3 linked regions of the Cricetulus griseus genome follow. The protein of the gene in region 1 interacts with the protein of each later gene in a pairwise test. Links are inferred from orthologs where the notes say so. Each region holds a gene or a part of one and is shown in the gene's direction. Other genes may lie near its edges.

Region 1 (4,061 bases):
TCACTGGCTGTTGTTACACAGGATTCAGGTTTGATTCCCAGCACCCACATGGCAGATCACAACTGTCTGTATCTTCAGTCTCAGGGCTGGCCTCTACGGGGAACTGCATGCACAGAGTGCACAACATGCAAACAAAACATACATACATACATAGATGTAAAATAAATACAATTAAGCTGCATTCCTTTCCCTTAGTATTCTGCCCAGCCTCTGAATATTTGTTAAACAAAGACTTCATGGCACAAAGCAGACTGTTAATTGTGTATGTGTTTAAGGAAACAATCCACATAATCTCAGGAACACATGAGCAGAGAAAGAAAATGAGATCAGAGAGGTAACTTCTAAGTTACCAGTGTATAAGAGGATCACAAATTCAAAGTCAGGATGTGGTGGCAAATGTCTTTTAATCCCAGTACATTTGTGTGTGGCAGAGGTAGGTGGATCTCTTGAGTTCTACACAGCAAGTTCCAGACAAGCTGAAGCTACACAGTCGAGACCTTGTGCTCCAAATAAGGCAGGGGAAAAAAATGTTCAAAGTAATCCATAAATAACATAGCAAATTTAAAGGCAGCCAGAGTAACATTAGGCCTTGTCTCAAAAAAAGAAAACCAGACAGGTGTGGTCTGATTCACATCACTAATTCCTGTACAACCAGGTTTACTTAGTGAGAACCTGTCTTTAAAAAAGAAAAAAAAAAAAAAGTGAGTACTGATGAAAAGCAGAAAACAGAAGACTTAATTTGTTGAGAAAAGGAGCAAATAAAGAAGTCTAGGATCCCTATTTGTTTGGGAGGTACTGACATAAGCTTTAGGTTTAAACAAAGAATTGGGGGACTACCACCCAGAGAAGGTTCCCGCAGTCGTCATACACACACACACACACCCGGAAATGGTCGTTTATGGGGCTAGGGTAAGAAGCCAGGGCAGACGCACTGACCTATGATGTCATTAGGACGTTAAAGTCCTTAACATCACCTGGAGGGAGCTCAATTTCCCTTCCCCGACAGGTCCGGGGAAAGCCGATTCTGAATGCAGGCCCTCATTGGTTACGCCCTCTGTCAATCCACTTCATTGTTCCAGTCTTCCGCCCCGCCTTTCCCCCCTCTGCTTCTGATAGGCTCCTGAGCCTGTCACTTCGGAAAGGTCCGCATTCCTTCCGCCTTTCTCCATGAGACCGAGGGCTAGAAGGGTGGATCCCAAGAGGCTCCCACCCACCTGAGCTCGGCTCCTAAGTCTGATTGGCTTGCTCGGGTGCCTGTCACTACCGCTTTCGCCGTTGACTGGTCGTCGGACCGCCGCTCTGCGCGGCGCCGGTTCCGCCCCCGTCGGGTGTTTGTGGTGGGGCTGCGGAGTCGCCGATCCCGCCGGAAGCGCCAGGACAATGGGGACCCGGGACGATGAGTACGACTACTTATTCAAAGGTGCGCCCGGTGGAGTACAGGCGGGCAAGGGCGCGGTAGCGACGGGAGGGTCGAGGCCGCAGTACGGGGCGAGAGGGTCCAGGGTGGAGCCCCAGGCTTCAGCGGGGCCCTATCCCGGGTAGAGAGTCGGAGGAAGCCACGGCAGGCCGAGCTCACTAGGCTTCGGGCCCTAGTCCGCAGCAGTGAGAAGAGGGAGGCTTAGAGAGGCCTGTGGACCCCGGATGCACCGGGGCGGGGCCGGGCCCTGGAGAGGGTGGGGCCCGGAGTGGAAGGCGAGGCCGTTGGGGCGGGGCTCCATGAGGGGCGGGGCTTCCCTGGGTTTGGCTGGCGGGCTGCGTTGAAAGCGTTGACAGCGGGGGGTTATAGATGGGGTTAGGGCAGTTGAAGAACATTGTGGGCGTGCCCAGGAAGCCTGATTGGTGTGAGACTTCTAGGGCTGGGCCTGGACTGGTAGGGGCGGGGCCTGCCTTTGGGGGGGGTGGGGCCTGGGTCACGTGGTGCAGGAGCCCTAAATTGTGGTGCCTTGGAATTGGGTGGGATGGTGCCTGTGTGTGCAGCGGTAGTTCAAACTCTGAGTAAATGATGGAGATGTAGTTCAGTTGGTAGAGAGAGAGCTTGCCTAGCAGTAGCAGGCACAAAGCCCCGGGCTTTATCGCCAGCACCGTATAAACCTTGTGTGATGGTGCAGGCGTTGGGTGGTCTGCGCTTGGGAGGCAGACGTAGGAAGATCAGAAGTGCAGAGGCCAGCCTGGATTACTGGAACTCAAAGGAAAAAAAAAAAACACGTGGATGACATTGGGCCAGTACATACACTGTTCTGAGACTTTACATTAATGACTCCTTTTAATCCTCTTTATCAGTTTATACAGTCCATATTATCCAAGAAACATGCTTGTAAGTGGTGCACACCTGAAATCCCATTACTCAGAGTTGGAGTCAGGAGGATCTTTTTCTATTTCAAAGTCAACCTGGGGGTGATGAGATAGGTCAACAGGTATTTGTGTGTGCTGCCAAGCCTGATAACGTGAATTCAGTCTTGGGGCCTACATGGTAGAACAGAGTCTGCAAGTTGTCCTCTGTCCATGTCACATGAGCCCACGCACATACAGCACACAGAATAAATAATGTGATTTGGCCAACTGTGGTGGCACTTGCCTTAAGTTCCAGTACTCAGGAGGGAGCTGAAACACACAGTTCTGTGAAATTCAAGGCAGGCAAGCCTGGTCTACATAGAGAGTTCTAGGTGTGGTGGAATGCCAAGTGAGACCCTATCTCAACAAAAATTTTTAAAGATAACATCAGTTACATAGCCATATCCTGTCCTCAAAACAAGAAGGAAACTGAAGTTCAGAGAGACAAGTTCCTGAGGGAGGAGCAGGATTGAGCTCTGGACAGTTTAGGGAGTTTTTGCCACTTAGGGTATGAGCTTTGGGGCAAGTTTTGCAGCTTAGATCTGGAACAAACAGGTGTCAGACCTCCCCTCAACACATACACATCCAACCCACTGGAAGAGTTTCCTACCTGTAGCATGATCAATAAAAGACCCAGAGACTGATATTGGGGTTCAAACTTTAAGCTGAAGATCAGAAAAGCAAAGCAGCTGGCTATTAGTTCTTTCTTATAGCTCAGGCTGAAAGGCAATCCTGGCTCCACCAAACCTCATACTGAAATCCCAGACTGTTCTGCTCTCTTCCGAGAGGCTAGAGAATCTTTAGACTCCAATGTCTTCCTATCCTCAGTGTGGCTGGAGAATGAATGCCAGCTCTGAGACCCTGTTCCTGTCTAAATAACCTTTCATGAGTCCTGGGATTAAAGGTGTTGGCTCTGTTACTCTTTTAGACTGATTCAATCTCGTGTAGCCCTGGATGGCCTTGAACTCAGGGAGATCCATCTGCCTTTGTCTCCTGAGTCCTGGGATAAAAGGTGTGTACCACCACTGCCTGATCTCGGTAGCTTGAGGCTTACTTGCTTTCTGAATCCTCAGGCAAGCTTTAATAAAACATACTATATTACCTCACCCCCCATGTCACTGGGGTCCCTCATTTCTCTGATGAACATATTTAGGGGTCTCTGGCATGATGACACCTTCTATGCCAGGCGGGCTTTTTGGTCCTGTGCTGTTTATGCTAGGCTCCCCACCAGACAGTGGCTGCTTTTGAGCTAATTTCTGAGCACTAAAGGGACACACAGTTGCCCTTCTGGGAGTGTGTCCTGGTGCTTAAAGCCAGCCTTGGCATCTTGGGTTTGTGGAGGTAGTAGGGATAGCCATGTGACAAAAGGTTCCTAGGCAGAGACAGAGGTCTGCAAAGATGCAGAGTTAACCACATAGCACCATGGCCTGGTAGTGGGCTGTGTCCAGATGTAAGTGATTAGCAGGTGTAGGCTCCAGGTATCACTCTAGAGGCAGAGGATGATTTGGAAGGATTTTTGGAGACCAAATATTTGAAGGGCTTTCTGGTGATGGGTGGAACAGACTCAGGCCCTAAAATGGCAAGGACCTGTCCCCACACAACCTACCCTGAGGAAGCTTCAGGCAGGACAGGGAATCTTTTCCCTTCAAGTCAACACATTGAGCATCTGTGGTCATTCCTTGCTTGTTTTCGACCTTTTGCTGTTATAAATAGCTTGGCATTGAATGTGT
Region 2 (3,500 bases), on another chromosome or scaffold:
CTTGAAAGCTGGAGGACCTGAGTTCAATCCCCAAAACCCACATTCAAAAAGCAAGGCAGGTGGTGGCACAGTTGTACACACACACACAAAAAAATAAAACAAGAAAATCTGCAGCATATATTCCATCCCATCTAACTGTTCCTAGGGAGAACATCTATATCCAGAGGAAAGTCTAAGACTTGCCAACATGATAGTTGACAGCAGGTCTTTTGGGTTTACCTTATACTTTCCTCATGTGATGGTTTCTAAGCCACTAAGACACCCAGTTGTCTCACAGTGCACTATGTGCTTCACAATATCCCTTACCTAATTTTAAGATTGTTTTGAGGGTTAATATCTTTAGCTAATTGTTCTCATTCTGAAGCAACAAAAATAGTATAATAGCGTTATGTCACCCATCACCTACTAATGGGGGAAAATGTTTGTAGGAAGTCTCAAGTCTCCACACAGAAGAACACTAAGCTTTGACACTTCCAAACTGAACCCGCCTGGCAGCATTGTGGATGAAGGCGAACGCTCTTTTGGAAGACAGAGTGACCCGTTTATGAATGTGACTGCTTCATTACCCCAAAAATCTGCAACACTGCCAAGGAAGAGAAATCCATTTGAAGAAAGCAGTGAGTCGTGGGACAACAGCATGCATTTATTTTCAAAACCAATTGAAGTAAGGAAAGAAAATAAGAGAGAGAAAAAAGAGAAAGTGAGCCTTTTTGAACGAGTGACCGGGAAGAAAGACAGCAGAAGATCGGAGAAGCTTAACAATGGGGGATCTGATAGCCCCTGTGACTTGAAATCACCTAGTGCGTTTAATGAAAATCGGCAGGACTATTTTGATTACGAGTCAACCAATCCGTTTACAGCAAAATTCAGGGCTTCAACTATAATGCCATCTTCAAGGTAAGCTCACAAGGAGGAGTGTGTGCGCCACTTGGGGAACCTTGTACTTGAAAGTAACAAATATTTCTTTTAGATGCATGAATATTTTATATTCATTTTTTACATAATTCTTTTCTAAGAATTCATTACAGACCTAAACATTGTTGCTTGCATATATCCTTGGAATTGAATGTTTTGCCTTGGAAGAACAAAGTCGTCTTCCTTTTAACCCTAGTCTGTACCTACCTAGGGAAGCCTAGAAGCCACTATAGATAGGTCTTGTAGAAAACCACATGGCTTCTGATGAGACCCAGTGAGAGTGAATAAACCATGGTTACAAATTCAATCCAGAAGTGTGTTTCTAGGTACTTCCCCAAGATTAAGTCATGGGGTGGCTGGAGGGCTTTAGTGAACCAATAGCAGTCACACACTGTTCTTTACAAATGCCGGCTGGAGTGTTGACGTTGTCATAACCGATGTTAACTCTCCTTATGAAATGGCTGCTCAGAAATTTCTTTTATTCATGAGTGTTTTCTGGAGTCTGGTGACCCTTGCGGGCACTGTGAACACACTAACCAGAGCCCTGGGATGACAAGTGTCCATAGGTGTAATCAGCTGAAGAAGATGGGAGATTTAAAGCTCTGGGTCCTTCCACGTGTACTGCTTCTTACTCCATGGCATCTGAAAGTCAGGGGTTCTGCAGATGTGAGTGACGGAGGGCCTGATGAAGGGACCGAAAACAAAGATGAAGATGACCTTGAAACTTTTAAGTAATTGTGGAAGAACACAGTGGAGGCAGTGTTTGCCACACAAAGGCTGCTTTTCCTCCAGCTGTAGTGTCCAGAACATAGACCTGAGCGGGAGTCCTTGCTTTGTAGTGCTATGACCTCTGTAGATCTTAGCATCTACATCTTTTGAGGTAAAGAAAATACTTTGTAGGATTTAGTGAGGGTAAATAATGCATAGAGTACATAGTACAAAGCCAGGCACCAAATAGGGGACCGATAGATGGTCACTGCTTCAGGGTGAGCATCCTTGATTTGAAACCTGACCCACTTTTATATAGAAATATGGCACCAGCGTTAATGCTTTCATCATGGATGGAACTCACTGGAGTTTCAGATTTGAAACATTTTGAATTTTGGCTTTTTATATATAAAGTTATGCATATATTCTGAAATCTTCCCCAAATCAAACTCTAAAGCATGTTGGGTCCCAGGAGTTTTCAGTAAGGAAAAGATAACCTCTGTCTTGATTGATGTATTATCCTGTATTGTTTTCTTTAAGATTAGTGCTTTTTGTTCTGTCCCACTACAAACAGAAGATGGAGCATCAGCAGCCACTTGGGTAGGCCTTGCACTTGGGCCTCTCTCTCCCTCCCTCCACTCACTCCCTCCTCTCTGTCTCTGTCTCTGTCTCTGTCTCTGTCTCTGTCTCTCTCTCTCTCTCTCTCTCTCTCTCTCTCTCTTCGTGTGTGTGTGTGTGTGTGTGTGTGTGTGTGTGTGTGTGTGTGTGTGTATCTTCTATGCTAGGTTAGAAAAAAAATCTTGCACTTAAAATTGCCAGAGGGGCATGCTCATTTTTTGTTAGTTTGTTTTCTTTAATTATTAGATGGGGATTTGCTGTGGTTTTAGAAAAAAATTCATTCTGTATGTGTATAGACTATATTTCAGAGAAACAAATTTTTATTTTGTGCTATCAGTGGTCCATTGAAGAGTTCACAGTGTTGATGTGAAGTTCTAACATGCTGATAGTTGATGTATTAATATTTCAACAAATCCTAAACATAGGCATAAATAGTATGCCCCACCCCCTTTCTGAACATTTTTTTCTTTTTTGCAGGAGATTGTTGAATACAATTATTCAAGATAACTTAGAAATTGGCTAATCTAGGTAATTTTACAGTGAAAAGCAAGAAAAAGGGAACTAGTTGGAAAAATGTTTTAAAATTATGTTATCATATGAAAAAATAAGTGTCCTCAAGTTGTCAATGCCTTGGGCTTCCATGGGCTTTAATAGAGAACATGGTCTTCGTAGGTTTCAGATTCATTATGTTTTACTTTAATATTAGCACTACTTTTATCAAAATTAGGCCTGTGTTATAAATTCTATGATTACAAGTATATAAAGAGTAGATTAAAAAGTTAAGACATTTTTCTTTGTGTTTCTGAGGCTATAGATATGAGGACAGAACACATATTCCTGGAAGTTTCTCTTTCTGTGTCACAGTCATCCTTCCGGTAAATTAAAACATTTGTAGTTAATGGGTGGATCTAGTTAAAGTGCAAAACAGTTGCATAGAAATGGACTGAATAAAAAGGCTGCAGTTCCAAGTTTCCAGCCAGCAGTTTTAGCGTGGGTGGAATTTGAGAGGCTGTTGCCAGCAGAGTGTCTAGAATTCCTCTCCTCCAGTATCATCTCTCAAGCAGCATCCAGACCAGGGCTTTTGAGGCTACACAGATCATGTATTGTGAATTATTTTTCCAGTATGCTAAGTAAAACTTACTTAGAGACCTCCTGGACTTTTGTGACCCATGGTTTTGAGACAACTGAGTCAATTTAAAGCACAACACATTGTGATCAAACTGGTGTGTGAACTGGCACGCCTAGGATTTCAGGAGCAC
Region 3 (3,500 bases), on another chromosome or scaffold:
AACAGCATAATACTATGTCCATTTAACAGACTAACAATAGTGGGTTCACTCTGGAGTCCATGAGCTCCCTAACCTTACATTTTGGCCAGATTCCAGTACTGAGCATGTGTTTCCTTTAGTAGACCAGTCCTTAAACCCAATCAGAAAGTAGTTATTTAGCCCCATTAACTTTCCTGCCACTACTGTAACCATGGGCACATCATATTTCTTTGATTTGTTCTCAGTACATGTTTGGTTTGTATACCTATTTTACACACCAATGTCCTTGGGATCAGTAAAAATTTATCAGGTGAAAAGGAGTCTGGAGTGGAAAAATGTCTAGGATGACCTATTCTTCTCTTCCAAATTAAGAGTAGTGATATAAGAGATGGTGATGGGGACATGTTCATTCTCAAACACTTCCTGCATTTAGAAATGTGTTTACAAAGATCAGTATGAGTTCTCAAAGGTGAAAAACAAACTACATAGACAAAGCTGTGTCTACATAAGGTGCCCAAATTCTTCAGTGGTGGCAACAGATGAGAGAATAGATAGGTGTGAACAGACGGAGGCCCTGGCTCCATGAGAGGTACCTCCAAACACACAATTTCCCCAACCCAACTTCGGAATCCTGATACACTGGAGTTTCTAGTAGGGTATGGAAAGGACAAAGCTCCACTGGGACTGGTCTGAAGCTACTACAATAACTTATACAACAGCCACAACTCCATGAGATAGCATCTGAGGTCACCTTCTGATTCACCATCTTTTTGCCTCCAGGTGGACCTACCATGACTTCTTCATTCGGTATCGCGTGTTGATGAAGAGAGAGCTTGCCAACACTGACAAGAAGAGTATCTGCAAATCTGTCCTAGAGAGCCTCATCAAGGTGATACAGCTAGAGGAAGGCATGGACCAAACGCCTACCTACAGCTTTATCTTTATCCTGAAAACCTACTTAAGATATCAAGCCATTTCCTGCAACAGTGGCTGGGAAATGGGAGTCCCCTCCCCTACCTAGAGCGCTCTGCCTTCCTGTACCTCACACACAGAGAGAGCACAGGTCACTAGGGTGTGTGTGGAGGCAACCCCTGATGGTGGCAGCCGCTGCTACTGTTGCTATCTCAGCATCTCTGGCTTCTCAGGGCCATTGTACCCAGTGGATGTCTGATCTGTAGCTAGCATCAGCTTGTTATAAATAAAACAACAGATTATCAGGCCTTTGAAAACTTGTTTTAAATGAAACAACCCAAAAATATCACATTGAGGCTGAAAACTTATAAGAGCGGAGCCTCGAGGGTCAAATCCTTAAATATTTCAATAGTTCTAGAGAGTTCCAGGGTTATAACAAAGTATAATAATCTGTCTCCATAAGGTGCTAAACTATAGAAAGCATCTTTCAGAACGTGATAATTATATTAAACATGTTTTTGCAAGCTAGATAGCTAAGACAGTGCTGAGAGGGTGGTGGTGTGGTTAACTGTAGCTTGTGCTTGGTTGATGGACTCTGGTTGATGGTGTTGCTGTGGTCCATCCATCACCACTGTACATGTTTTGACATCTCATTTTTCATCAGTTAGAAAAATGTGTTCAAGGTCAGCTGAGTTCAGTTAATATATAACACGTCCCTTCTTCTTGCCAGGGCTGGTCTCCTGGTGTATACCCCAAGCCTGTGAGTAGATTCCATGACCATGTGACTGCCTTCCACTTTGTCCTGAGTCATAGTTCACCCTTACCTGGATTCCTCCAAGGTTATTAGTAGAACTTTCCATCCACAGATGAGGAAACAGAAGTATAAGAAGTGACTGTAAATTGTTTAGGATTTCACAGACATTCAAATGCACAGTTCCTACTGATCTGGGGTGACTGGTTAGGGCCACTGTGCACAGTTGTCTGTCCAGGAGATATACCACTACTTGTGCTTCAAGACTTCCCCGGAAGACATTACATTTCTTCCTCATTTCCCTCATTCCTTGGGCCATGTCTTCCAGATACAACATTTCCACTAAGTAGGACTTTGGCTGAGCCACAGGTTGCCTTCCATGGCTGCCTGCTTTGGCTCACACAGATCTTTGCTCACCTCCACAGACAAAACTGCCTAGATCAGTGGTTCTCAAACTGTGGAGCCTAAATCCTTTTTGGGGGGAGTCACATATCAAATATTCTGCATATCAGATATTTACAATATAACCCATAACAATAGCAAAGTTACAGTTATGAATTAGTAGTGAAAATAATTTTATGGTTGGTGATCACCACAACATGAGTAACTTATTAGAGGGTTACAGCATCAGGAAGGTTGAGAACCACTGGCCTGGACCATCCCTTTTGAACATTGCCTGTTTTGTTTCTTGCTAATCCCTACTCTTCTGGTCTTGGTGGCACACGCCTTTAATCCCAGCACTCGGGAGGCAGAGGCAGGCGGATCTCTGTGAATTTGAGGCCACCCTGGTCTCCAGAACGAGCACCAGGATAGGCTCCAAAGCTACACAGAGAAACCCTGTCTCAAAAAAAAAAAAAAAAGTCTCTTCTGTTTACTTTCCCATCTGCCCTCCCCATGATGTTGGATTTTTGAGGGCAGGTATCTTTTCAATGGCCACATCCTGGATCCATGTCTGTCTTACCTTGAAGATTCAAGTCTGTTTAATGAATACTGAGAATCTAGGTGTGTCTACTGGGGCAGGGGGTACACACGCAATCTGGCAAGTAGGTAAGCCTTGGCAGGAAAGGCTAGTGTGTTTTGCAGAATTCACTAACTAGCCAGTCTCCCTCCCAACCTTGTAAAGGATCCAGACAAGTTCCAGTTTGGCCGCACCAAGATCTTCTTCCGGGCGGGCCAGGTAGCTTACCTGGAGAAGCTTCGGGCAGACAAGTTCCGGGAGGCCACTGTCATGATCCAGAAGACTGTCAGAGGCTGGCTGCAGAAGGTGAAGTATCGGAGACTGAAGGCAGCTACTTTAACCCTGCAGAGGTTCTACAGAGGACACCTGGCCCGCAGGTAAGCCATTCGGGGGTGCACCTGGAGTCAGGACAAAGGCGAGGGCCTCTTTGTCTGGAATTGCAGTGCTTCCTCTTGGGCCCAATCTGCTTCTTTAATTGCTCCTGGTTCCTGTGTGCATCCCTGTGATGCCCTTGCTTCAGGGATCAGATCTAGTCATGTGTCTCCTGATACCCAATGTATCCCCAGCCCACCAATATTAACCTAGTACCATCTGATTTGCTTGAAAATCAACCATTTCTCCTTTGCCTGAACCCCAAAGTAAAACCAGTGTCTTTTAGTAAGAGAGATGAATCCAGTTAATTTGCATTGTAACTTCATTCCCCTGGGATGTTGTATGGAGCTGGAAGGTCTGGGGAAGCCCTTCTGTGAATTGCTCCTGCACTGAGACAGTGTAGAGAAGACATGCCTCATCCAGCCACAGCAGCTACCAGGTCACCAACCAGATTCTCTTCCCTATGCACTACCATGCAGGGGGAACTACTGTCAACATTCTCTTCCTAAAGAGTGGCCCTGGGCTAAT

Evidence for each region.
Region 2: the proteins of Rab11b (region 1) and Rab11fip2 interact in binary tests that used the Homo sapiens proteins (3 or more experiments, as listed by UniProt). The link is inferred for Cricetulus griseus from reciprocal best matches to the Homo sapiens genes RAB11B and RAB11FIP2.
Region 3: the proteins of Rab11b (region 1) and Myo5b interact in binary tests that used the Homo sapiens proteins (3 or more experiments, as listed by UniProt). The link is inferred for Cricetulus griseus from reciprocal best matches to the Homo sapiens genes RAB11B and MYO5B.

Annotation. Positions count from the first base shown.
Region 1 is NC_048598.1:95,215,531-95,219,591, forward strand, and holds the start of Rab11b (ras-related protein Rab-11B), read left to right. Parts: upstream 1-1,261; 5' UTR 1,262-1,380; coding exon 1,381-1,420; intron 1,421-4,061. UniProt on the Homo sapiens protein: The small GTPases Rab are key regulators of intracellular membrane trafficking, from the formation of transport vesicles to their fusion with membranes.
Region 2 is NC_048596.1:1,380,620-1,384,119, forward strand, and holds part of Rab11fip2 (rab11 family-interacting protein 2), read left to right. Parts: intron 1-428; coding exon 429-897; intron 898-3,500. UniProt on the Homo sapiens protein: A Rab11 effector binding preferentially phosphatidylinositol 3,4,5-trisphosphate (PtdInsP3) and phosphatidic acid (PA) and acting in the regulation of the transport of vesicles from the endosomal recycling compartment (ERC) to the plasma membrane.
Region 3 is NC_048595.1:165,196,904-165,200,403, reverse strand, and holds part of Myo5b (unconventional myosin-Vb), read left to right. Parts: intron 1-759; coding exon 760-868; intron 869-2,765; coding exon 2,766-2,977; intron 2,978-3,500. UniProt on the Homo sapiens protein: May be involved in vesicular trafficking via its association with the CART complex. The CART complex is necessary for efficient transferrin receptor recycling but not for EGFR degradation.